7 linked regions of the Coturnix japonica genome follow. The protein of the gene in region 6 binds, or shares a complex with, the protein of the main gene of each other region. Links are inferred from orthologs where the notes say so. Each region holds a gene or a part of one and is shown on either strand. Other genes may lie near its edges.

What was found.
Region 1: ACTL6B (region 6) and ARID1A share a complex: the UniProt entries of both Homo sapiens proteins name them as parts of the neuron-specific chromatin remodeling complex. The link is inferred for Coturnix japonica from reciprocal best matches to the Homo sapiens genes ACTL6B and ARID1A.
Region 2: ACTL6B (region 6) and SMARCD2 share a complex: the UniProt entries of both Homo sapiens proteins name them as parts of the BAF complex. The link is inferred for Coturnix japonica from reciprocal best matches to the Homo sapiens genes ACTL6B and SMARCD2.
Region 3: ACTL6B (region 6) and SMARCD3 share a complex: the UniProt entries of both Homo sapiens proteins name them as parts of the BAF complex. The link is inferred for Coturnix japonica from reciprocal best matches to the Homo sapiens genes ACTL6B and SMARCD3.
Region 4: ACTL6B (region 6) and SMARCB1 share a complex: the UniProt entries of both Homo sapiens proteins name them as parts of the BAF complex. The link is inferred for Coturnix japonica from reciprocal best matches to the Homo sapiens genes ACTL6B and SMARCB1.
Region 5: ACTL6B (region 6) and DPF3 share a complex: the UniProt entries of both Homo sapiens proteins name them as parts of the BAF complex. The link is inferred for Coturnix japonica from reciprocal best matches to the Homo sapiens genes ACTL6B and DPF3.
Region 7: ACTL6B (region 6) and ARID1B share a complex: the UniProt entries of both Homo sapiens proteins name them as parts of the neuron-specific chromatin remodeling complex. The link is inferred for Coturnix japonica from reciprocal best matches to the Homo sapiens genes ACTL6B and ARID1B.

The regions. Positions count from the first base shown.
Region 1 is NC_029538.1:102,295-106,578, reverse strand, and holds the start of ARID1A (AT-rich interactive domain-containing protein 1A), read left to right. Parts: upstream 1-1,484; coding exon 1,485-2,639; intron 2,640-4,284. UniProt on the Homo sapiens protein: Involved in transcriptional activation and repression of select genes by chromatin remodeling (alteration of DNA-nucleosome topology).
Region 2 is NC_029542.1:1,260,750-1,264,704, forward strand, and holds the start of SMARCD2 (SWI/SNF-related matrix-associated actin-dependent regulator of chromatin subfamily D member 2), read right to left. Parts: upstream 2,801-3,955; 5' UTR 2,662-2,800; coding exon 2,494-2,661; intron 1-2,493. UniProt on the Homo sapiens protein: Involved in transcriptional activation and repression of select genes by chromatin remodeling (alteration of DNA-nucleosome topology).
Region 3 is NC_029517.1:105,896-109,987, forward strand, and holds the start of SMARCD3 (SWI/SNF-related matrix-associated actin-dependent regulator of chromatin subfamily D member 3), read right to left. Parts: upstream 2,801-4,092; 5' UTR 2,672-2,800; coding exon 2,594-2,671; intron 1-2,593. UniProt on the Homo sapiens protein: Involved in transcriptional activation and repression of select genes by chromatin remodeling (alteration of DNA-nucleosome topology).
Region 4 is NC_029530.1:7,053,063-7,056,562, reverse strand, and holds part of SMARCB1 (SWI/SNF-related matrix-associated actin-dependent regulator of chromatin subfamily B member 1), read right to left. Parts: intron 3,111-3,500; coding exon 2,973-3,110; intron 2,738-2,972; coding exon 2,610-2,737; intron 2,318-2,609; coding exon 2,151-2,317; intron 1,935-2,150; coding exon 1,744-1,934; intron 1-1,743.
Region 5 is NC_029520.1:23,752,190-23,756,222, forward strand, and holds the start of DPF3 (zinc finger protein DPF3), read left to right. Parts: upstream 1-1,233; 5' UTR 1,234-1,398; coding exon 1,399-1,430; intron 1,431-4,033. UniProt on the Homo sapiens protein: Belongs to the neuron-specific chromatin remodeling complex (nBAF complex).
Region 6 is NW_015439878.1:127,799-132,078, reverse strand, and holds the start of ACTL6B (actin-like protein 6B), read right to left. Parts: upstream 2,801-4,280; 5' UTR 2,658-2,800; coding exon 2,633-2,657; intron 2,534-2,632; coding exon 2,457-2,533; intron 2,023-2,456; coding exon 1,857-2,022; intron 1,287-1,856; coding exon 1,186-1,286; intron 1,091-1,185; coding exon 993-1,090; exon of another isoform or gene 954-992; intron 907-953; coding exon 812-906; intron 751-811; exon of another isoform or gene 736-750; coding exon 629-735; intron 455-628; coding exon 365-454; intron 161-364; coding exon 99-160; intron 7-98; coding exon 1-6. UniProt on the Homo sapiens protein: Involved in transcriptional activation and repression of select genes by chromatin remodeling (alteration of DNA-nucleosome topology).
Region 7 is NC_029518.1:46,220,755-46,224,888, reverse strand, and holds the start of ARID1B (AT-rich interactive domain-containing protein 1B), read right to left. Parts: upstream 2,801-4,134; 5' UTR 2,706-2,800; coding exon 1,008-2,705; intron 1-1,007. UniProt on the Homo sapiens protein: Involved in transcriptional activation and repression of select genes by chromatin remodeling (alteration of DNA-nucleosome topology).

The sequences.
Region 1 (4,284 bases), on a different chromosome or scaffold from region 6:
TAACTAACTCATCTTTTTGTATCTTTTCCACAGACCTGTACGAATTACAATTAAAAACAAAACTAGATGCTGGGACGGGACAGCCCGTGTCCAGCACTGAGATTCAGGTACGTTCCTCTCCTCCCTTCTGTTGTGGGGATGGAGGAGATGGGAATTCGGCTCTGAAATGGTTAAAGAAGAGCATGGCCTAATTCTCAGTTCACCTTTTGACAGTTGGGGAGCTCCAGCACCTCATGGTCCTGGAGACTGCGGAGTGGAGCGTTCTGGCCCATTGCTCAACACGTTGTGTCTGGACACATTCAGGTGGTTGTGGTTCTACACATTCAACCACCCCGAGGCAGTTTCCGGCCACCCGCTGCCATCGCTTTGACAGGAGTGGGAACCCGACTTTCTTGGACGTCCGTGTGTGCAGCTATTGCCTTGGCATGCTGCCAAATCTCTTTCCAGAGGGACACGACCAGCAGAGAGGAAATGACAACCCGCAGCACTTAGTGAAGGCTAATTCTAAATGGGATGGTTAGGGACCGGGGAGAGGCGTTTCGTTGACCCGCGGCCCATCTCCTCGCTGAACCTCCAGAGCCGCCACCGAGCAACGCAGCCATGAGCCCGCTCCGCTTTCCCCCAAAACTGGGCTGCGGCTCCTGCGCCCCCGCCGCCTCCGGAGGTGCCCCGGGAAGGTGAGGAAGGCAAGGAAGGCCGCTCCGAGCGAGGTCACGGCTCCTGACCCCCCGCCCCGAGCCGGGCGGTACTGCCAGGGTCGTGCCGCCGCCCGCTGCCCCGGCACCGCCCGCACGCCGGCCCCGGTTCCGCCGCACCGCCCCGCTCTCGGTGCCGGGCTCGGCTCCGCGGATCCGCTGCGGGTTTTGCGTGCGGCAGCCTCCGCCGCGCCGAGCCGCGAGCGGCCGGGGCCGGCCCGCTCCTCCTTTGTGAAGGGGGGGAGGCTCCCGTCCGGGCCGCGCCGCGCTCCGCTCCGGGTTTGGCAGGCGGCCGCGGCGCTGGGTAAAATGGCAGTGCTGAGCCTCGTGTCGGAGTGAGCCCCACTCGGCGGACCAGAGTCGGGAGCTGCCGCGCGGCTCACCCAGCCCGGCCCCACCGCCGCTCGGCCCGGCTCCGGGGACGGCGCCCGCCCGCCCGCTCGCCGTGTTCCCCCCACCCCCCTCCCCCTTCCCTCCCTCCCGCCTCTCCCGCACCGGGAGCCCCGTCCCGGGTCCCCCCCTCCTCCTCCTCCTTCCCCCCACTCTCTCCTCCTCCTCCCCTTTCTCTGCCGGCTGCAACCGAGGAGGTACAGCGGGGCCAGGCCCCGGGAAGCCCAGCCCAGCGGAGCCCTCCCCGCCTCGCCAACCAGGCTGGGGGGGAATGAGCCCCCGCTGCCCTGAAGAGCCCGCCGCCGCCTGAGCGGGGAGCAGCAGAGCAGTGAGGCCTCACGCCGGTCGGCCAGGCAGGGAGCAGCTCGGGGGGGAACCGGTCCGGGGGGGGGGGGGATCATGGCTGCTCAGGTCGCCCCCGCCGCCGCCGCCGCCGCCAGCAGCCTGGGCGCCCCGGCTCCGGCCGAACTGAAGAAAGCGGAGGCGCAGCAGCGGGATTGTCCCCTGGAGGAGGCGGGGGGCGAGGCGGCGGCGGCGGAGCGAGGCGGCGGCGGCGGCGAGAAGCAGGCGGAGAGCGAGGGCCCCCCGGGGAAAGAGCTGCAGGACGGGGCCGAGAGCAACGGAGGGGGCGCAGGGGCCGAGTCCGACCTGAAGAGCTCGAACGGGAACCCGGGCCCCAGGCCCGCCGCCGCCACCCTGAACAATAACCTCCCGGAGCCGCCCGGTGGCGGCGGCGGCGGCAGCAGCGACGGGGTGGGGGCGCCGCAGCAGCAGCAGCCGCCGCAGCAGCCTCCCCCTTCCCACCCGGCCGCCTTGCCCCCGCCAGCCTACGGCTTCGGGCAGCCCTACGGCCGGGGCGCCCAGGCTGCTGCCGCCGCCGCCGCCGCTGCGGCCGCCGCCGCTACCTTCCACCAACATGGCGGACAACAAAGCCCTGGCATGGCAGCGCTGCAGAGCGGGGGCCTGGAGCAGTCTTACCCGGGGCCGGCGGGAGCCCCCGCGGGGCCGCCCCCTCCCCAGAACTCGCACGGCGGCGCCGAGCACGGCTTCCCCAACCACCAGTACAACAACTACTACGCGGCCGGCGCCGGGCGCAGCGCCGGCTCCTACCCGCCTCCCCCCCAGGCCTACGCCCTGAGCTCCCCTCGGGGCAGCGCGCAGAGCTCCGCTCAGGCGGCCGCCGGCGCCAAGTCCCCCGCCGCCGCCTTCCAGCAGCAGCGCTTCGGGGTCATGGGGCCCTCGGCCGCCGGCGGAGCAGGAGGAGGGGGCGCCACCCCTCAGCCCACGGCCACCCCCACCCTCAACCAGCTCCTCACCTCCCCCAGCTCCGCCCGCGGCTATCAGGGCTACCCCGGGGGCGACTATAGCGGCGGGCCGCAGGACGGGGGAGCCGCCGGCAAGGGCCCGGGCGCCGCGGACATGGTCTCGCAGTACGGCGGGGGCAACGGCCAGGGCTGGGCCGCAGCGCCCGGCGGGGCCCCGCCGAGGAGTCACCACGCGCCCATGAGCCCCGGGAGCAGCGGCGGGGGACAGAGCCTCGGCCGGAGCCAGCAGGTAACCGCGAGGCCGCGTGAGGCGGACGGCGCGCCGGGGGGGGGGGACACGGGGCGGAAGGCCGCGGCCGTCGGGCTGGGGATGGGGGCGGCGGGGGAGAGAGGTGCCCTGAGGAGGGTGGTGGTGTGGGGCGGGGGGGGGGAGGACGGGACGGCCCCTCTCCCGTGGCTTCTCCCCGCCGGGTCGGCGCTGCTGGGGAGCTGCCATTGTCTGTGCCTGCTCTCGCTCTAAAATGGCTGCCTCTCTGCCTTTCCTTCCTCCTTCCCCAGCCTTTGTGCGAGGCTCCCGGAGAGCGGCCTCCGTTCCGCCGGGATAAGGGGGGGCGAAACGGCGGTCGTCCCCGGCGGGGAGCGGCCGGGCCCGGCGCGAAGGGGTCGGCGGAGGCGGTGCGGCGGGGATCGGGCGGCGGGCGGCCCGCCTGGTCCAGCGCGGGGTGTCCCCCCCCGGCAGTGCCGCTGCCCCTACTCGCCGCTGCCCCGCTCCGCGCCCCGGGGGCTTCGCTCCCTGCCCGGGGTCGCCCAGGGCCCGCCCGGGTGGCCGCGTCTCGGCCCGGCCCGGAGGGGCCATCTTCCCCCGCGGGAGGCCCGGCGGCCCGAGCCCGTGGCCGGGAGTGCTAGTAAGCGGCTCGGCGATAGGAGCAGTGAGTGCAGATTGCTTTGGTTTGGGATTTGAATTATGGAGGTAAAATCCTTCTGTCAAAGCCAGGAGACAGTTGGTCTTAGGTTGACATCCTATCTGTGATCTGATTGGCTCCCCATCTCCTGCTCTTGGCCATTTATAATTGCCTCTGATGTAATGGTACAACAATCCTGATGAGCTCATAAACTTTTACACTCGGCTTTTCTGCCAGCTCGGACCCAAAGCAGCCCTGCTGCTCGCCACCTCCTCGGCCCCCCACCGAAATTGGCTGTGACCTTGAGGAGAGTCGGCCTTGCAGGAGCGGATCCCTGGCCTGCCTGCCCTGCTGCTTTGTGCCCGAGACAAAAGAAGAGGCGATGGCATTTTGTTTGTACCTTGGGTTTATTTTGCTTGTGATGTTTTATGCAGCCTGGAATAGAGTCTCTGTTGTCAGAACAGTGGCAGGTCTTCTCTGCACAATGGGCTTGCTGTTTATTTTGGTTATGTGACTTTCCCTTCGGTATAAATGATTTCTTTGATGGATCTGAGGGTGCGTTTGTTCCCAACTAATTTTGGCCTTTTTCAAGACCGGGACTGTTTGGATTCTTTCAGCTGGAGGTGTGGGGGTTTCTGCAGCCTTACAAATAAACAAAAAGCCCTACCAAACAGTCGCAACCAATTTTGTGGTGGAAGCATTGAAAATGATTTACCTACTTCAATTAATTGGGGAGCTTCAATATTGATCAGGCCTCGGCTTCTGGTTGTGCATCTCAGGGCATGTTTTGACTTTGAGTGAGCACTGACAACATCTGTCCCCTCTCTGCATTTAAAGGACATGTTGTAGGTCCTCACTTTGTCACAGTACTTCACTTTCTGAAGGAGTATGAATAGGAAATCCAAGCCTGCACATCAGAATGATCATCGTGTGGGGACACTTACCCATTTGCTGGAAATATGGAGGAGCAGGAAGCGTGCCGAGGAGAAAGCAGTACAGTGTGTGCATCAGACATCTTAGATACGGGGATTC
Region 2 (3,955 bases), on a different chromosome or scaffold from region 6:
GCAGCGCTCACACCAGGACCCAGCAGCCATGCTGACACTGAAGGGGAAAGGCCACATTAAGTGAAGTTTTCTCAGCAGCTTCCACACCGCAGGGACTTGGCAAGAGAACAGAAGGGATGCACGAGTTACAGCCTGGGACTTTCACCTCGTGCTGATGGCCATGGAGAGCACAGGGTAAGAGGGGGAAGGAGGTGTAAAACAAAGAGCAACCTAAGGAACAGAGGCTGCAGCAGGCAGAGAAAGAACTCAGGGGATTTATGCCTTAAACACAAGCAGGAACAAGGAAGAAAGGTGTTGGGTTCCTGCTTGAAAACGTGGCAGCCTCAAGTAATACAAAGGGGGAAGCAATGGGAAGAGTGGAAAACACTGCTCAGATGTGCAGGGAAAGGCTCTGAGGGTCCCTATGGAGGAAGACAGAGCAAAGGCCTCCAGCAGGAAGCTTTGGAGATGCTCCCACCGAGCAGAACCTCCATGAGCCTTAAGGAGAAACAAAGGGTGCCCTGAGCTCTGCTGCTGCCTGCTTCTATCCAGCACTGAGAGCACAGCATTGCTCTGCTTTGTGTCACGGCTTCATTCTGCTGGATGCTCAGCCTCTGATGAAACCTGCCTTGGAAACAGTCCCCCACTGGGAAGGGTGGGTCATGCAGCAATGCAAGCTGCAGATCCCTGCTGTGTGCTGCACTTCCAGCCTTGCTGCCGTCCCCAGGCCAACCATGGGACAAGCACCCAGCTCTCCTCTCCTAATGGGATCCAGCAGGTCTGTTTGGAAGCAGAAAGCTCCAACTCCTTCCATGCACAGCCACGCTTCCTCCAATATCACTTTGTTAGCAGTTGTTTGGCTTGCAACAGCCCTTCCGTCCCACGGAAATGGGATTCCTGCTTGTCAGCAAGTGCCAATGAAATGCTTTTAACGGGGCACTTCATTAACTCCACTTCTTCTTTTTTTTGCCACTGATCTACGCCAGCAAAGCGACAGCACAGGGCAACCTCAAGGCCATTCTGCACAGCCCCTCCTCCACTGCATCACAGAGCTGAGCCCATTCCCTACCACAGCATCAACCTGATAACTCGGGAAGGATCTCCCAAGCCTGAAACCTCCATTACAACAAACAGAGGGAACTCCTGATGGATTTATGCTAACCTGAGCCTTGGGATGGGGGTGGACACACCACCGTGCAGCTGATCGCCCATTGCATGAACACACTCCCACTCCTTTCTGCTCTGGAAACATCAGTGCTAGAGTGAGTTGTCCTCCCCATTTCCCTTCTTGAGCTGCTGGTGCATAGCCAGGCAGGCAAGGGATGTCAAAGGATTAACATACATTTAATAATCCACTGATTAAAGAGCCCCTAAGCACCCGCTGCCATACATGAGGGCTGCTGTGTTCTCCTAGCCAGCATAATGCAGCAGAAGGAGCCTGACTCACTGGTTACCCCCTGAGAAGTCCTGCGGGCACCGCAGTTTTGACCACTTGGTGGGGAGGAGCTGCTTTAAACAGGCCTGCAAATTGCAAAACAAAAGACAGACCGGATCGATCAGCCCCCAATCCCCTCCCTGTGCCAGCAAACTGCCGGCCAGACACGACAACAACGACTTGCATTACCCAAACACTGCAGCACTGCCATATGCTCCCAGTCTCACCCTACCCCATCCATACGCTCCCAACACCTGCCATGAGTGCAGTATTATGGCCAGCATGGGATAAGGGGGGGGGGTGAAAGCAAACATATGTGCCCCTGTTTACCCACAACAGAGCGATGCCCGCTGGGTTCTGCAACCTGGGAAGGTCGGGATGAAGCCTCCCTATAGCTCTGAGTCACATTACAGCCAATGCAGGGCCCTATTGGCCTGGCTGAGCTCATCTCAGTTTTCACTTCGGGGTTTTTCAGCTTCACGGGTTGTTTCTCCTCCTTTGATACAGCAGTTGGAAATTCCCCCCATGTGGATGACTGGATTTCTTCGGTTTGGAACTCAGAACTCATCGCAGAACGAGGCTTCTCCATAAACAACCCCACAACACGTGGGGGCTGAACCAACAGCAGAAAAGGCAGCAGAAAGAGAGCAGAGTCCACAGCTTCCAGCACTGCAGCGGGTCACATTTACTCCCCTTTATCCCCATTCCTTCCCTTTAACGTTCACCATCACAGCTCCATCTCCGGAGCTGGAAATGCACAAGGATGGCTGTGATGGACCCTCCTGGGCCAGGACCCCCACAGCACAGCCTGGGGGGGTACGGGACCACCTCCATAGGGCAGAACACTTCTCCGTTAACTTTTTAATGGGGGTGGGGGGCCAGGACAGCCGCCCCTATGGAGCCCCGCTCCCCCCCCACCGCCAGGGCCCCACGTTCAGGAAGCAGCGCCGCTTCCTCCGGGCCCAAAAGGCCTCTGAACCCCCACGGCCCCTTTGGAGGCCTCTAAGTAACCCCCCAATCCCACCTCCCACCTCCCATCCCCAATACAGAGCACAGAGCCGCCCCCCGCCCGCCCTCACCTGGTACTGCGCTCCCGAAGGCCCCATCGGACGATATCCCGGAGCGGCCCCGGAGGCCGGAGTCGGGTTGGGGCCTCTCATCATACCGGGTCCGGGCCCTGGAGGAGGAGGAGCGGCGGAGCCGGAGGGAGGCAGAGGGCTGAGAGGGAAAGCTCCACGGGCGGCCATGGCGGTGCTGGACCGGGCAGAACCGAACCGGGCCGGGCCTAAAGCTGGGGGGGCGGCCCGGCGCTGTTTACTCGGAAGCGGCGGCGCCCGGAGCGGAGGGAGCGCGCGGCGTGAGAAGCCACGCCCCCCACCCCCGATAAGCCACGCCCACTCCCACGATAAGCCACGCCCACTCCCACATTAAGCCACGCCCACTCCCACATTAAGCCACGCCCCTCCGCTAAACCACGCCCTCAGAGAAAAAAGCCACGCCCCCCGATAACCCACGCCCCGATAAGCCACACCCGTTCACGCCCTATCCTATAAGCCACGCCCTCCACTAAAGCCACACCCTTCACTAAGCCACGCCCCACCCAATAAGCCACGCCCCAAAGCAAAAGCCACGCCTCCGATAAGCCACACCCCGTTCACTAAGCCACGCCCCCTCCGATAAAACCACGCCCCTTCCACTAAGCCACGCCCCCAGAGCAAAGCCACGCCCCCCAATAAACCACGCCCATCCACTAAGCCAAGCTAACTCCAATAAGCCACGCCCCTTCCATAAGCCACGCCCCCTTCAATAAGCCACGCCCCTTCCAATAATCCACGCCCCTCCGCTAAGCCACGCCCCCAGAGCAAAGCCACGCCCCCTCTGCCAAGCCACACCCCCTCAAAAGCCGCCACTAAGCCACGCCCCCTCCAATAAGCCACACCACTTCACTAAGCCACGCCCCTTCACTAAGCCACGCCCCCTCTGTGTGGCCACGCCCCTTAAACAAAGCCCCGCCCACTTGTGAGGCCCCGCCCCCATTGGCTGTATGTGTGCACATGTGTGTGATTGTGTGCACATATCTCTGCCAGCATGTGTGTGTTTGCATGTTTAGGGCCGTGTATGCATCTGATATGTGCATATGTGTGCACACGTGTGTGCATATGCGTGCCCACTCTGCATGCATGTGTGTGTATGTGTACATGTGTGCACGTGTTCATAATAGTGTACATGTGTGTTCATATGTGTTTTCCTGAGTACATGTACGTACGTGTGTACATGTGTGTGCATGTATGTGTGTATGTGTGTGGGTGGTGTAAACACATCTGCATGTGTGCATGGATGTGCATGGGTACATGTGTTAGCATGTGTGTACACGTGTGTAGCTGTTAGTGCATGTGATTATATGTGCATATGATTGCATGTATGTTCATACATGTGTGTGTGGGTGTATATGGATCTTCATGTGTACACCTCATGTATGTACCTCTGTGTGTATGTATGTACCTCCATGTGCAGGCATGTCCTTATGTGTATGTGTGCACA
Region 3 (4,092 bases), on a different chromosome or scaffold from region 6:
ACAAGGGCAGCCTGAAGTGTACTGCTGGACAGTAGAAAACACATCAGGAAAAAACATATAGGCATAAAGGTGGTCATTAAAGCTGAATTTATCCATAACAGTTCTGGAAATAGAGCAGAGGGGCGAAAGTGACAGTGAAGGATGATGAAGCCTGTGCAAAAAATCCCTCTTCCCACAGATACAGCGTGTGAGGCCCTGATCAACAGACCAGGAGTTAGAGAAATCTAAGGAATAACTGAAAGAAAGGCGGTCTTTTGAAAAGAACTGCTCAGCAGAGGTGTAACAAACTACTCCAGCAGGGCGAAGTATCACACCTGAGGCTTCTCACCACTGAGATCTGACAGCACAGAGGGATCCTATCTGAACCACACAAAGGGAAGAAGATCTCTTCTGAGCTGGCAGCATGGGAAAGAACAAAGGCAAGATGAAACACACAAGAGCAAAGGGCGAAGTGACCTTAGCAGAGAAACACATGTTTTCAGAAAGATCAAATAAACCCAAAATCTAACAGCTCTCAGTAAATAGTGCAAAATTCTCCTTTCTATTTAATTCTTCAAACAGTACATTTTTTTCTCATGGCATTCTATCCCTGCTTATACACTCCCATTTCTGAAAATGAAACAATAACGATAACAATACCTGCAGTAATCAAGAGAGATCATTTTGCCAAAGAGAGAACAAAAAAACCCAGTAATCTGAAGAGGAGATTTTCCCTGGAGTGGAGGCATAACCTGATTCCAAGGCATGCTGGAAAACTTTACTCTTCAACTTGAATCTTCAAGGAATTGATTCAGATGCAGACAGGCCGCGTGCGGTGATGAGGCTGCAATATCTGCACTCGGGGTAACGGCTCGTTCTTTTATTCGATAGGATATGTAAACAGGTAAATGAAGTTGCAACTTTGGGTCTTTTGTAAGCAATGGAAGACTGGCTGCCTCAACCTGTTTTGACCAAAATGAGCCTGAGGTCAGGAAGAAACTAGAAGTGAAGAACAAACACGGAAGCAAAAGCAGAACCAAAGGAAATAATCATGGAGGGGCGCAGAGGGTCCTACAAGAGGAGCTCAGGCAAAGAGTGATGGACAAGAAGCTCTGTTTCCCCTGACAGGCAGTGGAAAGGTAACAACCAGATGCAGGTACTCAGGCAATGTGGATACCAAGTGAGACGCCTCTCATGGAGAAACAGGCAGTGCAGACAAGTCAGACTTTTCTAGCACCCAAATAACTAATGGAAACAAGTTCTGCTGCATTAATTCTGGTATGAATTAACATTTCTCATGCTTAAGAGGCCAGCAGGCTCCTTTCACATCTACATGGGAAAGAAGCAGGGTCATCCAACTGTCTTAGCAACTCTTGGAAATACCAAAGGAAGAGCAGTGTTGTGCCAACAGAAGCCTTGGAAAAAGAAACAGCTACCCTCGTGCACAGCCCTCCCGGGATGCCTGCGGCCACCCAGCTACAGCCACCCTGAGCCAGACCATCTTAACCAACACACGTGTTCACAGCACAGCTACTGCCACAGATCCGCACACCTGCTTCTGTCATATCTGCCCATCCAGCCACAGACTGCTGATGTACATCGGCACCGCTCTGCCTGCTCACTGCTCTCAGGGAGCAGAATGCCATCTAAAAGTCCTTCACCCTGCAAGCTCATCATAGCCAGGCTCTGCAGTACACAAGAAAGATCCAATACATTTGGAGCAAGCCTGAATTATGGGGACAACCCAGAGGCCTGCAGCGAGCTCCCGAGATTCCTTTGTACAGGAACACGCAGCGGATGTCTTCAAAAAGGTGTCACAGAAGGTGCCAGAACGCTCAGGAGAGAAAACACGCAGGGACTGTCTCCATCTGAGCTATATCTGCGTTTCCTGGGTCTTATTTCCTTAAAAGTGTATCAGCACGAGACATCCGAATGCTATAAATGGTGGTCGCTTTCAACCATCAGTCATTTAAAGAACATCGTTTCTCCTGGCAGCAAAACAAGGTTAGCGTATCCCCTTAAATGGAGATCAAAAACCTGATTCCTTAAACAAAAGCTGGCGATTTTTTAAAGACCTGAGTGATTCCTTTAATTAAGCGCGGCAACCTGACGTTCCCTCGTGGGTGAGCGCCCATCGCCTGGCAGAGATCCGCAGCGCTAATCTCTCCAAGCCCCTGAAAGTCACCTGTTAAGTAGCCAGCGGATACATCAGAGCCAAGGCTGGAGACGAGAACCAGAGGCAGCGCCACACGGCCGCGTCGGACCAGCATCAGAATTGCTTTTCAAAACACAAGTTTGCTTACAGAACAAAGTGTCCTACGAGCCCGTTTGGGTCAGACGCGGTGCAGATCCCGCACCGTGACGAGGCTCGGGAGCACGCTATTCACCAAGCACGGAGAATCAAAGCAGCAATCACAGCACGCAACCCCCCAGACAAAGCCGTATAGCAACGAATCGGTCACATCGTGTGCACCGGCGGCCCCGCGGCTCCCGGGCGAGGCGGGGAGCGGCGCCCCACGGGCGCGCAGCAGGGGCCGCTCCAGCCCGGCGCAGCCTCCGCTCTGCACTCATCCCTCGATCCGGAGCCAGCAGCTCGCTAACTTTCCCGACTCACCACCCCATGGACCAGAAACTCAAAAAGTTTGCTTTTCGTAGCTTTGCGAGCCCCTCCTGTAACTTCGTCTGTAGCCATCGGGGTCTGCTCAGCCTCTCTCACTCTCTCTCTTCCTCTTTCTTTCCCTTTTCTGCCTTTTTCTCCAACTCTCCCCTCTGAGTCCTGCTGGGCTCTCACACTTCTAATAGCGCGGAGTGGGGAGGGGGCCCCTTCAGGGCCTTCCTGACGGCCCACTCGCGCTCGGCCTCAGCTGCTGCATTCCTCCACTGATAAGCCAGAAATAGTTTGCGCTGCCGGGCTCTGCGTGTTTACTCTGCGGGGACAGAAAATCCCGCTTTTTAAACCTCTCTGTCCAAACACCCGAGATAAGAGCCAGGCAGATTGAAAACACGTCCCGGCCTTTCGCGGCGGAGCCGCAGCCGCTCCTCCTCGGCGCAGGGGATGGTAAATTCTGGGGCAAGGGGGAGGGGGCGGCCTCGGCTCCCGGGGAGTTTTCCCATTACAATATGCGGCGGGAGAGCGGGGAGAAACAATGGCTCCCCCCGTTCGCAGCGCTCCGCCCGCGCCGCGCTCCAGGCCCCGTCCCCGGGGACCGCCGGCAGCGGGCAAACATTCGCTGGCGGCGATTCCAGCGCCAGGATGAGAACGGCCCCTGCGGCGAGAAGAGGCGGCGGGAGGCGGAGAGACGGGAGCGGGCAGGGACGGAGCGGGGGAGAAGGGATGGGGGGCGTGCGAGCAGCGGGGGCGGCATAGCGGCATAGCAGCACGGCAGCACGGCAGTATGGCAGTATGGCAGTATGGATGTATGGCAGCACGGCAGTATGGCAGTATGGCAGTATGGCAGTATGGATGTATGGCAGTATGGATGTATGGCAGTATGGCAGTATGGCAGTATGGATGTATGGCAGTATGGCAGCATGGCAGTATGGCGGCGGCCCCGCCCGGGGCGATCTGTCCGGGGCTCTCCGGCCCCGCTACGCCCCGTGTGACTGACGGCTGCAGACGCCGCGATCCCCGCAGCTCGCCGTTGTGCTGCCGCAGCTCGCGGCTCCTCGTGCACAGCCCCGCGCGGCACCACGAGACCCCGCGGCCCATCGGGGGGGAAGGGGCCTCTGCAGCGCTTCTCGGCGGCCCCTCCGTGATGGAGAGCAGTAATAACGGCTCTGCGGTGCACAGCGGCAATAACGGCTCTGCGGTGCACAGCGGCGGGGCCGCCTCCATGACGGCACAGCGGCGTGGCCGTGGGGCTCTGCTCACCGCGGTGTGTGCGGCTGGAGGGGGCGGCTGCCTCCCGTCCGCCTGATACATTGATAGAGGTGTTGCCAGAGGGGTTTGTTCTGTTCCTCTCCTTGAGATTGATGTCTATAGACTCTGAATTTTTTGGCAAGGCTGCAAGTAGAAGGGAATCAGAAGGGAACCTGAATTGAATAAAATCGCTGCTCTCACCCAGTGGTTAAAAACAAGCACCAAAAAGACACTGAATCGGGCAGCAGCGAGGA
Region 4 (3,500 bases), on a different chromosome or scaffold from region 6:
GCGGAATAACTTTGGAGCAACCATCACTGCTGTGGTTTGGGAATTCAGGAACTACCCAACCACAAAACCCAAACATCATTAATCACAGGAAGGTTTCAAAAGTACTCCTTTGCAAAAAGAAGAGAGGGAAGAGGAGGGCATATTTGTACTGTGACAAAAAAAGCAAGTCTTAAATTAGGTGCTTTCTGCCTCTGAATGGTTCACAGCTATTGTACTTTATTTCTGTGCTTTCCTTCCTCGTTTTTAAATCACCCCCTTAAAAAATGGCAACAGCCTAAAGAAGGCCTGAAATCTACCTATTTGAGCCACCCCAAAAACAAAGCACTCTTCAGCAACCAGGGACACATATAAAGTAGATGTGTAAAGCAGCAGGGAAGAAGAAGCAGTACTAGAGGCATCATATTGCCACTGACTGCCCTCCAAGCTCCCACCCATCCTCAGCAACACATACCCACTGCTCTAGCTGTTCCACAGCACAGATCTGCAAATATCAATCTGCTGTCATGGATAGCAAGGGAGAAGTCAACTCCCTGCTCCTAGAGAAGAGTTTAACTTCCATGTGAACCACACTAGGGATTAGCTGCAAGCTTCCTTGAGCTGACCTCCACAAAACCAGCGCCAGTAGCACCTTTCTCCCACCTCTGCAATACATCACTTGCTGAACTCTCAAACTTCCTCAAGTGTCACCATGGCCTGAGGTCAAAAAACCCACCAGCACACATTAAGGAATACTTAACAGACTGCAGACTAAGCAACATATGGAGGATAACATCTGTGCAGTACATTGCCACAGAACTCTGCACAGCACAACTGGAAATAATTAATATTAGGAGGCAAGTTACAAAGCTGACTAATCAAACCTGACACTGTTGCGTTCCAGCTAAGAGAACTGCCTGTGATCAAACCAACCTCAACTTCATCCAGGGCAGAGAGCTACAGTGTCAGTCAGGCTTAGCTCAGAAGACCAAAGCTTGGCCCAGGTCAGACAGAGCTGATGAGACAGAAACGTATCCAAGGCTCATCATGTGCAGACATTAGAAGAAGGCACAAGGTTTTCTGACAGTGTTAATTAGAAAAGCCTTTCACTCTGTGGCAAAAACTGATTTCATTGATATTTGGCCCTGGGATGCACTACACCCACCACAAAAAGATCTCTGAGCAAAAGCACAAGCTGGTTGAGAGGCACCAGGATCTACAGAACAAAACACACCAGGCTCCAGATCAAAACTCTTCATTTCTTCACCAGTCAGGCAGCCAGCAACAAGGGGCTGTGCCTGAGGAAGACATGACTGCAAATGTGTCACGTACATTTAGAGTGCTATGGTTAGATCCACTACTAACATTTCTGTTATCCAGAGGACTCCATCCATTTCATACAAGCAGCACAGTGTCTCTTACAGCTCACCAGTAACACCTCACCGTCCCATGACGTGTGACTCACTTGCCACTTCAAGACAGACAACTGTCCAGAACAGTGAGAAGAAATGAAACCATGTGAGCTGCTAACCTTGCACAAGCAGTGGTCCTTAGATAATACCAGCTTAGGGGATCACCAATTGATGAAACAAAAGGATGTCCAAGAAATAAAACAGTCTTTTAAGAACTATATAGTATACAATCTATAAGAACCAATTTCAAATTAAGCTTTCTACACTGTGTCAGCAGTTCAAGATTCGTTGACGTTAACAGCCATGAAGTAAGAAAACACATCTACACCCATCCAGAAAGATGGCAGTTCTGTACCTGAAGGCGTATGTCTTCTGATGCCAGCTCAGCTGTCCCCGGATGCTGTAGGCAATAGTAGTGACAAACTCCCCACCCAGGCCAAGCTCTGAGCACAGCTTCAAGGCAAACTTCTCTGGTGAATTCTCCTTCTCTGACATGTCCCATTCAAACTGGTCTACAAGGGAGATGTTCCCTACGTGGATGTTAAGCTGGAGACAAGGGAAGAAACGAGTCATTCATTTCTCAAGGACAAAATCTAACCTGGATAAAGGATTGGAATTAGGAACTCCTTGGTTTTGAGGGAAGTCTTTGTGCTATCTCTCCCCCATAAATAAATAAACAAAAAATCCAAAAAACCAAGAACACAAAACTAGAGAAATGCAAGTATAGTTCAGCTCTCATTCTACTGCCTCCCTGTAATTTACCTTAATAATAACACGCTGGTCTGACTGATCCTCTAGGATGCTGTCAGTTGGGTATGATTCAATCTGTTGTCGGATGGCAGAGGCAATAGCAGGGACAAAGGTCAGAGGATTCAAATCCAGGTCATCACAAAGAATCTCTGAGAACATTTCTGGGGTCATCAGCTTTTCTGATACAGAACAAGAAGACATTTTTCTCAGCCACCAATGTCTGCCACTTACGGAATACACAAAATTAAGATCCCATCTAACTTTTCAGATTACAGGTATTCAGGAATTACTGCAATCCATGGAAGTGTTAGGGATCTGCTAAGAGCCATGAGAGCCGAATAGGACACATCACTGTAGAAGAGCTTAAAAGATTTTCCTATATGGGGCAAGGACTTGCTTGTTCTCTCTTCATATTTGGTAATGAATGCAACTGTATTTTTCTAGTCTCAGGAAACTCTCCCTCCTACATACCATTCATGTTCCATGTAAATGCATCTCTGAGTTTCTGTCCATCAATTTCCATATCAAGCCTGATTGGAACCAGAACCTCCGGCTGGGATGCGTTCTCATGGATGACTGCTGGGTCATGGTCATCAAAGCTAGAACAAAGAACATCAATAGGGCATGTGGAATAGAAAATGATACATCTGGCATGCATAGAAGGAAGGTGCTTTTTATTGTTACCATCCCTATACTTCAACTTTTCAATTATTAGACATAATCCTCAACACAAAGTTACAGGGCTCTGGCAGCCACCTGCCTATCAGAGCAGCCCCCTGCAGTGTGTCATGTTAGTAACTGTTTCCACTTTTCTGAAGAAGGAAGCTGTCTTACCACAGAGGGAAAGTCCTCTTCTTGTCCCTGCCCATGCGATTTCTGTTAATGGTTGTTGAGCATGGTACTGCATCCAGGTGATGAGAGCTGTTGGGCAGTGTCGGCACCCATTGGTTGTTCCTCTTTGCCTTCTGTTCTCTGCAGAATGACACTCTGTGTTAACCTGCAGGCCCCGAACACCACTGCCACTATTTTTAAACTTAGTATCATAAATTACGAGTTCCTTCCTAATGACAGTTGGACTGAGAACTCATTCCACATTATTGCCTTCAAACTCCATTTTCCGGCCCACAACTATCCACTGCATACGAATCCAGGTGTACCACCAATACATGCTTCATATTTGGATTTCCTGTCTATGTTTACAGAGGAACTGCTGAGAAATGCGACATCTCCAGCAAAAAGTATGCGCAGAGAGTGTTCTGCAGAACATCTGCTACAGTTGGAATGAAGTAACTGCAAAATGAGCTGTATCATCAAACACTAATGTTTTTCTTCCTGTAATATGTGGGCAGCAACCCAATCCTT
Region 5 (4,033 bases), on a different chromosome or scaffold from region 6:
TTGTGAGAGCTCGGCAGTTTGTGGTTAGCTTTTCCTGTGAACAGTGTGAGTACCGAACAGGGCTTTCTGCAGTTACAGTCAATGTCACCTGGACCACTACTATACCATATAATATAATGCAATATGATAATGGAAACGTTCTTGAAGATTGCTTCCCAGAACCGTGGTTAGGATACATCTCGGCAGTCTGGCAACTCTCCAGCTGACAGGAAGCTTATTTCTCCTGTAACCAAGTGTCTCAGATAGGGGAAGATGGTTCCCTCCGGGAGCACACAGTGGGCAGGTTGGCCTTGGAGCTGCAGCAGGTGCTGCTTTGGGAAAGGGGACTCTGGCAAAGCTGCTGAATCCTGCATGACTGGGAAAGTGATGCACTGCTCTTTCCCCTTATCTGCATGTAATAATTTCTGTACCTCTCTGTTGTTCATCTCTCAGCCTTTTCTCTGCTGCCCACACATTAGAAAGTTTTATTTTGACAAACAGTTGGGAGAGATTTAGTTTTTCTGCCCTTGCAAAGCTCATCCCATGAGCTCAACGATTGCTGTTTTCTCTGTGTTACACCTGAACATCTCTCAAACATTTACTTCCATTCTTTCATTAAGTTGTGGATCGGGCTACCCTCTGTAGGCTTATCTTGCTCCTGCGATGGGAATGATTTAACTGCGTGTAGCTGAGTTTCCTCCAGTTTTATGAATGCGAGGATTGGAGAGGCAGGCTGCTGCTTGTTTCTGGATGGACAGAGGTGCCCGAAGGGAGGGGAGTCCTTCGGGAGGGACGGGGCGGGAGCTGCTGGCTCGGACCGTGCCCGTTCCATTCCGGCGCTGTACTCCGAGTGGCGCGGAGTTCCAGCCCGCCGCTTCCTTCGGGCGCTCTGCCGCTCTTCCCAATTCCTTGCGAGCACTCCGTGTAGCGGCAGGTGGCCGCGGGCTCCCGGGACTCGCCCCCGCCGCCGTCCCGTCCCGGGAGCGGCCGGGGCGGGGCGTGTCGGTCATCGCGGCCGGTCGTTACGGTTATGTAAGGGCTCGGGGCCGCGGCCACCCGACGCGGGAGGGAAATTCCTGGGGGGGGGAAGCGGCTCCCGGGGGCCGGGCGGATGGCGGTGCCGGCCCGGCGGGAGGGCGGCGGGCGGGGCGGTGTCCCCGGGGGCGGCCCCTGCCAGGATCCGCCCGGCCGCGTGCCCCGCGCGGGCGCTGCCCCTTTAAGGGCCGCTCGCCGCCCGCTCCACAGGCAGGAGCGACCTCTGGGCTTTGACAGCTCCCCTAATAACTAGCAGCGCTACGGCCCCGCCCGCGGAGCACGATTGGGCGGCGGGCCGGCACGACCCGCGCCGATTGGCCGGGCGCTTCCCCTGAGCGAACCTTTAGAACTCCGAGACACAATATTCTGTTACATTGTAGCAAAATGGCGACTGTCATTCACAACCCCCTGAAAGCGTAAGTAGGGCTCAGACCCGCACACGCTCCGCGTGGTTCCGCTACGAGAACGGCCGCCCTCCCGCCTCGCCCGGCCCCGGCTCCCCGCCTCCTCGCGCGGCCCCGGCTCGGCGGCTCCGGGCGGGCGGCGCGTCCTGCGGCCCCGGTCGGGGCGCACCCGCACCTGGCGGCGTCCCGCGGGGTCCGGCGGCGGCCGGGGCGGGGCGGGCGGCGGGGAGCGACGAGCCGCGGGGTGCGGGGTGCGGCGCGGGGCAGCGGCGCCGTTTGCGCGGAAGGCTCCGAGCGGCGGGGAGTTGGTGCCGCTCGCGGCTCGGGAGCGGGCGCCGGGGGCGGGAGGGCGACTCGGCTGCCGCCGCCACCCGGGTCCCCGTCCTAAGAGGGACGCGGGATCGCTCGCCGTCCCCCCTGCTCTCCTCTGGCGTTTCCCTCGGGTTCCGGCGCGCGGCTAATCCCGGGGCATTAGGGAGAGCGCGACCCGGCGCCGCGTAACCTCCCGCGGGAGAGTTGTGCCTCCCGGGGCAGCGCTCCCGCGGACGGAGCGCAGCGCAGCGCGGACACCTGGCGGCGGCGCTTCCCCGCACTTCTCAGCAGCGCGGAACGGAGTCCGGAGCCGAAGTGAGGGCTGCGGGATGTGGCTCCGCTTTCTTTTCTTCTGTTTCTTTTTTTGTTGGTTTTTGACTCGCGTCCCTCCGGCTGGAGTTGGCAAACCGCTCGGAGGTGGTTCCGGGGACTCCTGCCGCCGTCTCTCCGCAGTCTGCGGGGAGGATGAGCCTCGGGCTGCGGAAAGGTGCTGACACGTTTGCCGGCTCTCCCGCTCCGTCCTGGCAGAAAACCTTCGCTTTCATTTCGCGTGCGCTCCGCAGCGCCCACACGGCCGCGGGCAGCGGCAGTGCAGGTGCCCCGCGCTCCTTTAAGGGGATCCCGGGGCTCAGCACCCGCCGCCGCCGCTCTCTGGACCCGCGCCGCCCGCAGCAACTTGTCGCGCTGATGCCCCGGGCGCTCCGTCCCGCTCGCAGTTCTCGCCCGGCTTCCGGAGCCGCTCTCAGCGGGCAGCGCTCCCCGGGAGCCCCGGGGGGTGGGGGAGAACGGGCCGCCCCGGCCCCGCCAGGCTGAGCCGGGAGGGCAGCGGAGCTCGGCTCCTCTCGCGCGGCGTGGGAGAGCGCGAACAATGGGCAGCTCGTCTCTCTGCCTGCACAAGTGCTGCGCTGCTGAGCGGGGGAAGCGGGACCGGCACGGACTGCCCGGCACCACCTGCGTTTTTATATCGAGAAGTTGTTTAATAAAACATTTTATAATTTCCACTCATTCTTTAAAGTTGCTGGTTGGGGAAACAATACGCACGTAAATAAATTATGCACGGGATAAATTAGGACAAAAGCGGTAGGACGCATAATAGGGGAAAGGACGTAGAGCACAACGTTTTATCCTCATGTGTCCTCCCTGACAATGAAAGGGAGCCGAATGACATTTGCATTTATCTGCGTTTTGATTGTATCTGAAAACCCACAAACGCCCCCTACAGAAACTGCCCGCACAAAGGTTTCGCTCCGAGCCGGGGACAATGTCGGGACCGAGACATCCCGGCTCAGGTGTCCGCAGCTCCGGCTGTGCCGCCCGTCTACGGTGCCCAGAGCTCAGTTTCTCTCCGGCACTTGGACACATGTGTGGCCTCGTTCGTGCTGCGCTGCTCTCGAAATAACGTGCTCCCGTGTACCTGAGCGTCCCTGGGAACGCGCTGCACGGAATAGCGCGGTGCGTGCAGTCCCCCGGCTGTGATGGGCGCTCCCACGTTCAGCTCGCCTCTCTCTCTGCCTCTTTTCTCACTTGCTGGTTCTCTTCGGGGGCTTTCATCCCTCTGCTCTTATCCCCCTCGCTGCCTCTGTCTGTCTGGTCAGCCCGACTCAATCGCCTGCTATTTTTGCCATCCAGCACCTTGCTCACCTACACGGTGCTCCGAGGCAAAAACGGCAGAGATGTGAGCGTAACAGATCTGCGAAGAAAGGGCAGCAGGTGTCTGGATAAACACAGAGTTCTTTGCCTGCAGAAAAGGCAGCACTCAGTGTGCTGATGGGCAGCAGTGGGCTAGAAATGCTGCATTCATTGTTGGGTACCTATCTCTATTTCTTCTTTCCATCTTTTCCTTTGGATATCTTAATGCGGAGATGTTCGAGTGGGGCAGCAGAAGGAACAAATGCAATGAAGTGGTATTCTGAATGACTTAAAGTGTCAGTCAGAAATCTCAGTGGGCTTTGTAAACATTAATTAATTAAACCTCTCATCACCCCTGTGAAGAAGGGATTATTGCCTTTGTTTTGTGGATGACTAAACTAGGACAAAGTGGTTAAGAAACTTTCTGAATTGAAGATCAAGTCTAAAGCACAGCAGTGCAGCTTCCAGCCTTAGCAGCCAGCCACATTTCCTCCACTCCTGCCTGACTAGAAATGTGCATACGGTACCATAATGTATTTAATGTAATTAAGATCTTGTAATTTACAGAGCTCGATCTAGAAGTGGAGCTGATTTCCTCCACCCTTTCTCAGTCTGTACTCCCACAGCTGACTTTTCTTTCAGATTGTCAGTTAAATGCACTCCCTGGAGCACTC
Region 6 (4,280 bases):
GCCACCCTAAGGGGAGGGGTCGCAATTTAGAGGAGGGGGTCCCCACACAACCCCACTCCTCTCCCAATAAACCCATCCACACCCCCCATATCGCTCACTGTTCGTCGTAGGGGGAGTCAGACACCTGCAGCACTGAGGCTTGGAAGTCCTGGATCACCTCCTGGGGGGGGAATGAATGGGGGGGAGTCACAGAGGGGACCCCAAAGTCCTTTTCTGTCCCCCAAGATCCTGTGTTCCCCCAATCTCCCTCTGTTCCCCCCAAACCCCATTCTGAATCTCGCTCTAATGTTCCCCCATATTCCCTCTTCCCCCCCAAATCCCCCCCAGTGGGGTTCCTCCTCTGTGCCCCCCCCCATTGACTCACATTGCAGGTGTAGTTGTGCCAGGACTTGGAGACGGGGGGCAGCTTCTCCTTCTTCTTCCAGTTGGGGGGGGCCCCCTCCCGGACCGGCTCCTAATGGGGGGGGGGTGTCAGGGAAAAGGGGGCGGGGTCAGAAAAAAGGGGGTGGGGAAATGGGGGTGGTTTAACCAATGAAAGGGGGCGTGGTATTAAATGGGCCTGGCCAATAGGGAACTATGGAGCTTGGATGTGGGGCAGGCAGTTGTGGGGCTGAGCCCTGCCCCACACCTTGGCAGCGATCATATAGGGCGGCACGATGTCGATGTTCATCTCTTGGAACAGCTCCCTGCACTGCATGGAGATGAAATCCCCGGCCAACGGCGACTTGACGATCCCTATGGGGCGAACAGGTGAGCGATGGGGGCTGCCCCCATAACCCTGCCCCATAGCCGCCCCATAGCTGCCCCACACCTTGCTGCAGGATGTATCCATCGTGCACTGGGATGGCTGTAGTGTGCGTGGCTCCGCTGTCCAACACCAGCCCCGTGCTGCGCCCATTGGCAAACCTGTGCTCCTCTCATTAAGGGCTGTATTAACAAAGACACCCCCACAGCCCGCCCCACGGCTGCCCCACATCTATGGGGCTGGATACGCTGTTAGAACAGCAGTTTTACACAAGAAAAAAGCAGGGATGTTGTAGTGTTCGAACATCAATTCCGTCAGCTTCTCACGCTTTGCTCTGGTATTCCACTGTGGGGCACAAGGTAGGAGATGTGGGGCTGGGGACCCCCCCCAGCCATGTGTGGGGTGATGTGGGGTGATGTGGGGCAGGTTGGGGGTCGTACCGGTGCTTCAGACATGAGCACGGGGTGCAGGCCTGGCTCCGACTTGACGTGTTTGCCATAGGTGTGATCCAGGATGGCCTGGAAGCACTCCCAGTCCTCAACTGGGGGGGGGGGATGGGGGTCAGCCTGGCCCCATAAGTGCAAGGGGTGACCCTATTTCCATAGCATCCCCATAGGGTGCTCTTATGGCCCCATAAGTGCAAGGGGTGACCCTATTTCCATAGCATCCCCATAGGGTGCTCTTATGGCCCCATAGGATGACCCCAGCCACCCTGTGTCCCTATGCAGTTACCCTATGGCCCCATAGGGTGACCCCAGCCCCCCATGGGGTGACCGCATGGCCCTATAGGATGACTCTAACCCCACAGCACATCCCCATGAAATGACTTATGAGCCCACCATGACCCCCAATATGACCACAGCCTCACAGTGTCCCTATGGGGTGCCACAGAACGACCCCAACCCCTCAGTATCCCTATAGGATGGCTCGTAACTCCATAGGCTGACCCCAGCCCCACAGCAATCCCCATAACACAACCACCCCATCCCATAGAGCCACCCCACCCCCTCAGTGCCCCCCCACCCCCATATAGAGCCCCCCCCATATAGAGCCCCCCCCATATAGACCCCCCCCATATAGACCCCCCCCCATATAGACCCCGCCGTCTCACTCATTCCGTTCTTGAGCGGTGACAGCACCTCCATCCCCTCCCGTGCCACGTGCAGCGCGTTGGTGTCGATGTAATAAACCTTCCCCCCTTTCTTCTCTTTGTCCCCATCCAGCTCCAGAGCCGCCTCCTCCGGGGACAGCAGCCCCACCGTGGTGGGGAAATCCGCCTGCCCCCCCCACGATCACCCCAGCCCGGTAAGGGGGGGGGGGCTCAATTATATGGGGCCAGGTTCACGGGGTGGGGGGGGCTGGGAGCCTCGGCGGTACGGGCAGTGTGGGGTGATGGGGGTCCCGGCGGTTCTGGGGGGTGTTATGGGGTTTTTTGGGGGACACGTGGGGGGGGAAAAGGGGATCCCGGGGCTGGAGGGGAGGGGAAGGTTGTGGGGGTCCCAGGGCTGTTTTGGGGGGGGGTAATAGGGATGGGGGAGGGATTGTGGGGGTCCCAGGAGTGTTGGGGGGGTTGAGGGTTAATGGGGTCCCAGTGATTCTGGGGGCGTTGGGGGGGGGGGGCTCAGGGGGTCCCGGGTTTTGAGGGACACGGCGGGTCTGGGGGGTCTCAATGTGGGGGGGGGGATCCCGGTGTGGGGGGGCAGCCCCGTACCTTGGGACAATCCTCCCCGGCATAACCGGCACGGACGGAGAACGAGCCGATGTCGAACACGAGCGCCCCGACCTCATCTTTGGGGGGGGGAGAAAGGACCGTGACACCGGGACCCCCCCCCAAATTAACCCCCCCCCATCAGCTCCGATCCCGGTGCCCCCCCCCCGTTCCCGTACCGCCTCCGTAGACCCCCCCGCTCATGGCGGCGGTTCAGCACCGGACAGCTCCCGTGTGTGTGTGAAGTGGGAGGGAGGCTTGGAAGGCCGCAGCCAATCAGAGCCCGGCTTCCTCTGCGCCGTGCGCTGTGATTGGATGCGGGTGCAGACAATGAGGGACGAGTCTTAAAGGGGCCGCGCTGTTTTATTGGGGGGGGGGTTGTGGTGCCCGGGGGGCGGGGCTAAAGAGACCCCCGACGGCCTCATTAGACCGCGCCTTAATTACCCTGTTGCCATGGGAACCGAGCTTTGTTACCGTGATAACGACAAATGAGATTGGGGGACCCGGGGGGGCCATGGGGGGAGTGTTGGGGGGGCTCGGGATGTACTGGGAGGGGGATGGGACGAACCTGTGGGGCCGGGATGTCCCCGCCCCACACTTGGGGGTCCTATGGATTATTGGAGACTCTTTTTTCACCCCCCCCCCCTTCAGGGCTGAAATAAGCCCCGCCCACCGAGGGGGGGGGCGTGGCCAACGGGCCGCCTCCGAATGGGGCGGAGCTACGATTGGCTCAGCCCACTAAGCCCCGCCCACAACGCACCGGTGGGGGCGTGGCTTCGCTTAGCTCCGCCCACTCCGCACAAGGGGCGGGGCTTCGCCTGCCCCCCCCCCCCCCCCATAAAATGTCCTTTTTAAACTTTGGGAATTAAAATGAAAATACGAACCAAAATGGCGCTCGGGGGGGGGCGGTCGGAGGTTGGGGGGGGTCATAGAGCAGACAGTTGCACCAAGGGCTACGTTTATTGTGGGGGGGGGGATATGTACAGGGGGGGGTTATTCACAGCGGGGTAGCGCGGCCCCCCCGTGTTGGGGGGGGGCTGTAAACATTGAACCACTCTCAGTGGGGCGGGGGGGGGGGGGGGGGCGGGGCTGGAGCTGGGCCCCCCTTCCTGCCCCCCCGCGGGAGGTAGAGGCTGTTGGAGCCGGGGGGGGGGACCCCTACATTCATCAGTGCCGCCCCTTTAGATGGGGGGGGGAGGGGAGGGTGTAATTCCCCCCCCCATATAACCAAAATGTGGGGGGGGGTCTCATGCTGGGGGGGTCAGGGGGGGTTGGGGGGGTTTCTATACCCCCAAAGGTATAAAAAAATGGCCACAAACCGGAGCTCCCCCCCCCCCCCCATGGAGGTTCACAGCAAACAAATAGCACTACAAAAAGGGGCGGGGCTTCTGCCCAGGGGGCGGGGCCCGGCACAAAGGGGAGGAGCCAATTCACTGTCCGGTCCAATGAGGGGGCAGTATGTGGGGCTGGGGGCGGGGCCAACAGGGAGGGGGCGGGGCCTAACTGCCCCCATTCGGGGGCTGTAAACACGGCCCTGGGGGGTAACACAGCTCTGCCCCCCCCGCTATGGGNGGGGGGCTCCAACGTGTCCAGGGGGGGTAACACAGCTCTGCCCCCCCCGCTATGGGGCAGCTCTGGCATCTGTGGGGCAGCAGCGGCTGTGACTGACCATCAATGGGGGTCATGCTCCCCCCCCAACCATGGGGCAGTTCTGACCTTGCCATGGAGCTGATGGGGGGAATGAGGGGGGGGGGCGATTTGTTCTTAGACCCCCCCCCCATATAATGTCCTCAGTGGGGCGGCTCCGGCGCTAAAGTGCAGCTGGGT
Region 7 (4,134 bases), on a different chromosome or scaffold from region 6:
GCCCCCTCCTCGCTGGCTCCCGCGCAGCCGCACCCCCCCACCCCCACCCGGCCGCTCGGTGTCGGCGGGGCCGTGGGTGCCGGCATCGCCGCTCGGCGCTGCTATTTACATCAGCGGCGCGAAGTGCCCAATGGCGAGCAGGGAGCCAATCAGATGGCAGATTAGATGTCAACTCGGAGGCAGCTGTCTGGAGACTGTTGCAGCCCGTTTACCTCCACAATTCAAATTCCAAACCTTGCGGAGAAGCGGAGCCGCTCCTCGACTACGGGCTCCGGCCGCCACGGCGACAAGCGGCGGTTCCCGGCCGGAACGAGCGCGGAGGGGCGGCTCTCGGCGGCGCCCCGAGCCTTAACGCCCCCCCCGGGCCACGACCCGCCGGGACGGGCCCGGCCCCTGCGGATGCGAGGGGCGAAGCGCGGCGCTGGGGCCGGAGCGGCGCCGTGAGTCAGGCGCACAGCGACGCGCACACACGCGCTCTTCCCACAGAGGGAGAGAGGGGAAAAAAAAAAAAAAAAAAAAAAAAAAAAAAAAAAAAACACGAATAAAAAACTAACAGGCGAGCTGCGCTGAGCGGCGTGCACTGCGGTAACTCCGCGTTAGAGACAAACTAATTAGCGCGGACAACTCGCTGTGTGCGGATAGAAAAATACAGCCCGAACTGTTAGCAAAAGAGAGAAGCGCCACGGGAAGCCCCAAGGGAACGCACCGACCCGCACACACACAGCGCGGCCGCACGGCGCCCCATCGGCCGGGCCGGGCCCTCGGCCGCTGCTCCCAGCAGCAACGCGGCGCCGTGAGGCCCAGCCGGAGCCCGTGCCCGCAGCACGGCGGGTGTCGAGAGGGGGCAGCGAGCGGAGGGAGCGACCCACGCGGGGGATGGGGGGGGATGGGATGAAGTGTGGGGGGGAAAGGGCAAATAAAATCTGAATAAAAATAAAGAAAACAAAAAGCGGCGCGGGGACCCGCGAGCGGCGCGCGGGCCCCTTAGCGGGCGCCGCGGGGCTTACCTGCGTCCTGCCGATGGGCTGCGCGGTGCTGCCGGGGCTCATCGCCGGGTGGTTCCTTTGTTGCGCCGCTGCCCAGGCCGGGCTGGCCGCCCCGTACTGAGCGCCCATGTCCTTGCCCATGCCCATGCCCGCTGCCTGCTGGCCGCCCGGGGCGGCCGGCGCCGCCTGGGGCTGGGGCTGGGGCTGCGGCGGGGCGCCGGGGCCGCCGTAGTCGGGGTATCCGCCGCCGTAGCTCCGCATCATGGGGCTGGGAGACGTGAGCAGCTGGTTGAGGGTCGGGGTGGCCCCGGACGGGTGCTGGTTCTGCCCGGAGAACCGCGCGAAGCCGCCGGCCGCCGCCGCCGCCGCCGCCGCGCCGGAGGCAGCCTTGCCGAGGCCGGCCCCGCCGCCGGGGCCCATCATCATGCCGCCGCCCGGCTGCCGGGGCGAACCCAGCACCCCGTAGCCCGCCGCCGAGCCCCCGTAGCCTCCGCCGCCGCCGCCGCCCGCCACGGCTCCCGCCGCCGCCACGGCTCCCGCGCCGCCGCCGCCCGCGCCCGTGCCCGTGCCGCCGCCGCCGCCGGGCCCGCGGCCGTAGGGCGGGTAGTGGTTGTACTGGCTGTTGGGGTACCCTTCGTGCGAGTTCTGCAGGGGGTCCATGCTGTTGGGGGCCGCCGCGGGGTGCATTATCCCCATCCCGGGGCTTTGTTGTCCGCCATGTTGATCAAAGCAAGGCCCGGCGCGGCTCGCCGTAGCGCTGCCGGCGGCGGCGGGGGCAGCGTTGCCATAATAGCTGTTGAACTCCGAGACACCCACCGCGGAGGGGCCGCCGCCGCCGCCTCCCCCGCCGCCACCGCCGCCGCCGCCGAGGCCGCCGCCGCTCCCGGCGCTCGGGGGCGGCTGCTGGGGCTGCTGCTGTCCGCCCAGGGGTCCCAAGCCGGGGTGCTCGTAGCGGCCGCCGATGGGCTCGCCCATTTTGCCGGGCATCTCCTCCTCGTCGGCGCCTTTATTCAGCATCTGCTGCGGCGGCTGCTGCGGCGGCTCGGCCGGAGCGCCCAGGACGCCGTCTTTTCCTCCATGTTGCTGCTGCTCGATGTCTGCGCCGGGCTGCGCAGCGCCGCCACCGCCGCCGCCGTTGTTGTTGCCGCCGCCGCCGCCGCCGAGGCTGCCGCCGCTATTCTGCGCGGGATGGTGCTGAGGCGGCGGCTGCTGCGGCGGCAGCGGCGGGAAGGGGTTCAGCGGCTGCGGCGGAGCGTGGTGGCGGTGGTGCGGGCGGTGGGCATGGTGGTGGTGGTGGGCACGGTGGTGCGGGTGGTGGGCACGGTGGTGGTGGTGGGGCGGCGCGGCGGGGTGATCGCCTCCGACGCTCTTCAGCTTGTGGTTGGGGAGCAGCCCCGTCTCCATGGCCGAGCCCGGGGTGGAGGAGGAGGAGGAGGAGGAGGAGGAGGAGGAGGAAGGCGGGGAGGACGACGAGGAGCGCGCCGCGGAGCCGCCGCCGGCCTCCTTCAGCGCCGGCTCCGAGGAGGGGCCGCCGGCCGCGCTGCCGCCGTTGGGAGCGGCGCGGTGGGCCATGGCCGGCTCGCCGTGCTGCCGCCGGGCCGGCGCGGGGTGCTGCTGCTCGGCCGAGGGGCCCCCACCGGGGCCGCGCTCCGGCGGGCCCGGCGCCTTGCCCTGCCCGTTGTTCGCCCCCGCCGGAGCCGCCGCCACTTGCGCGGCCATGATCACCGCCACATCGCGAGGTCGGAGGGACCGGCGCCGGGACCGAAAAGACTAAAAATCGGGCAAAAAAAAAACAAAACAAAACAACAAGACGGGAGTTCGGCCCCCGCGCTCAGCGAGGGGGGTGAGCCGGGGAGGGGGGAGGTGTAGGGGGGGGTGGGGGGGTATTAGGGGGGGTTGGGGGGGGTTAGGGGGGGTATAGGGGGGGTTGGGGGGGAATTAGGGGGGGTTGGGGGGGGTTAGGGGGGGTGTGGGGGGGGGTGGGGGATGAGGAGCGGGGCGACAGGGCTCGGCCGGGCCGGGCCGTCCCTGCGGGCCGCACAAATCCCCTTCTCGGTCCGCGGCCGAGAAGTGCTACGAGCGGAGCGGAGCGGAGCACAGCGCCTCACGGTGCGCGCCCGCCGCCGCGCTGTGACTTCATGTTGGAACTTTTTTGTTCGGCTTTAAATGAAACTTTTTTTTTTTTTCCTCCTTTCCTCCCTAACCCGGATATGGGGACGCGCACGTCTGCCTCAGCCGCGCTGGCCCAGCATGGCAGCAGCGAGCGGGCGGGCGGGCGAGCCCCGGCAGCCATCGCCCCCTCCGCGCCCCGCGCACTCGCAAAACGCGGACTGGAATCCGCCGGCACCGGCGCTCGCCGCCCGCTCCGGGACGTGGAGCGTCAAGGGGCGGCGGATCGCGATGCCCCGCGCCCGCTCGGCGCTGCGGGGACGGGGCCGGCGGCGGAGCGGTCGGGCCGCGGTCGCTGTCCCGAGGGAAGGGAGGAAAGGAGCGGGCGGCCTCGGGGCTCCGCAGGCGGCGGGCAGAGTTCGGAGGTGTGGAAAGGAGCTCCGTTCCGTTCCTCTGGCGGGGGATGCAGGATGTTTCGCGGAAAAACACGACTTTCTCTTCTCTTTCTTCTTTTTTTTTTCTTTTCTTTTTTCTCCCCTCCTTCCCCCCCTTTTTTTTCCTATTCCTCCCCCCCGAAATCTGTATTTTCAGTGCTGACAGCTATAAAACGTAACTTAAATTCTGAAGCCGTACCATCGGTGCCATTGTCCACATTGCCCAGCTGTCTCCAAATTCTAATGGTCATTTGCGCTGATGATGCTTTTATATATAGGGCTGTTCTCAATATGTTCTCTGTACTTATTTGCAGATAATGGGAGCTGATCAAGAAGAGAGAGGCATGTAGTCTTGTAATTGTTTCCCCAAACAATGTAGTTTCCAGTGGGCACAGGACACTGTGCGATACCAGAACAAAAGTCAAAACATGTCATCCAAATAGCACGTGGAAAGCTGTTACTGGTGACCTACATTTTTAAACCATCCCTCAGAATGGAGGGGGTTTTTTTTGGAGTGTTTTTGTATGACTACTCCGATACAAATGGTACCCAAGCATAAGAAAAAGTAAGCATTACACACTACATTAAACTAATAAAGCATCTGG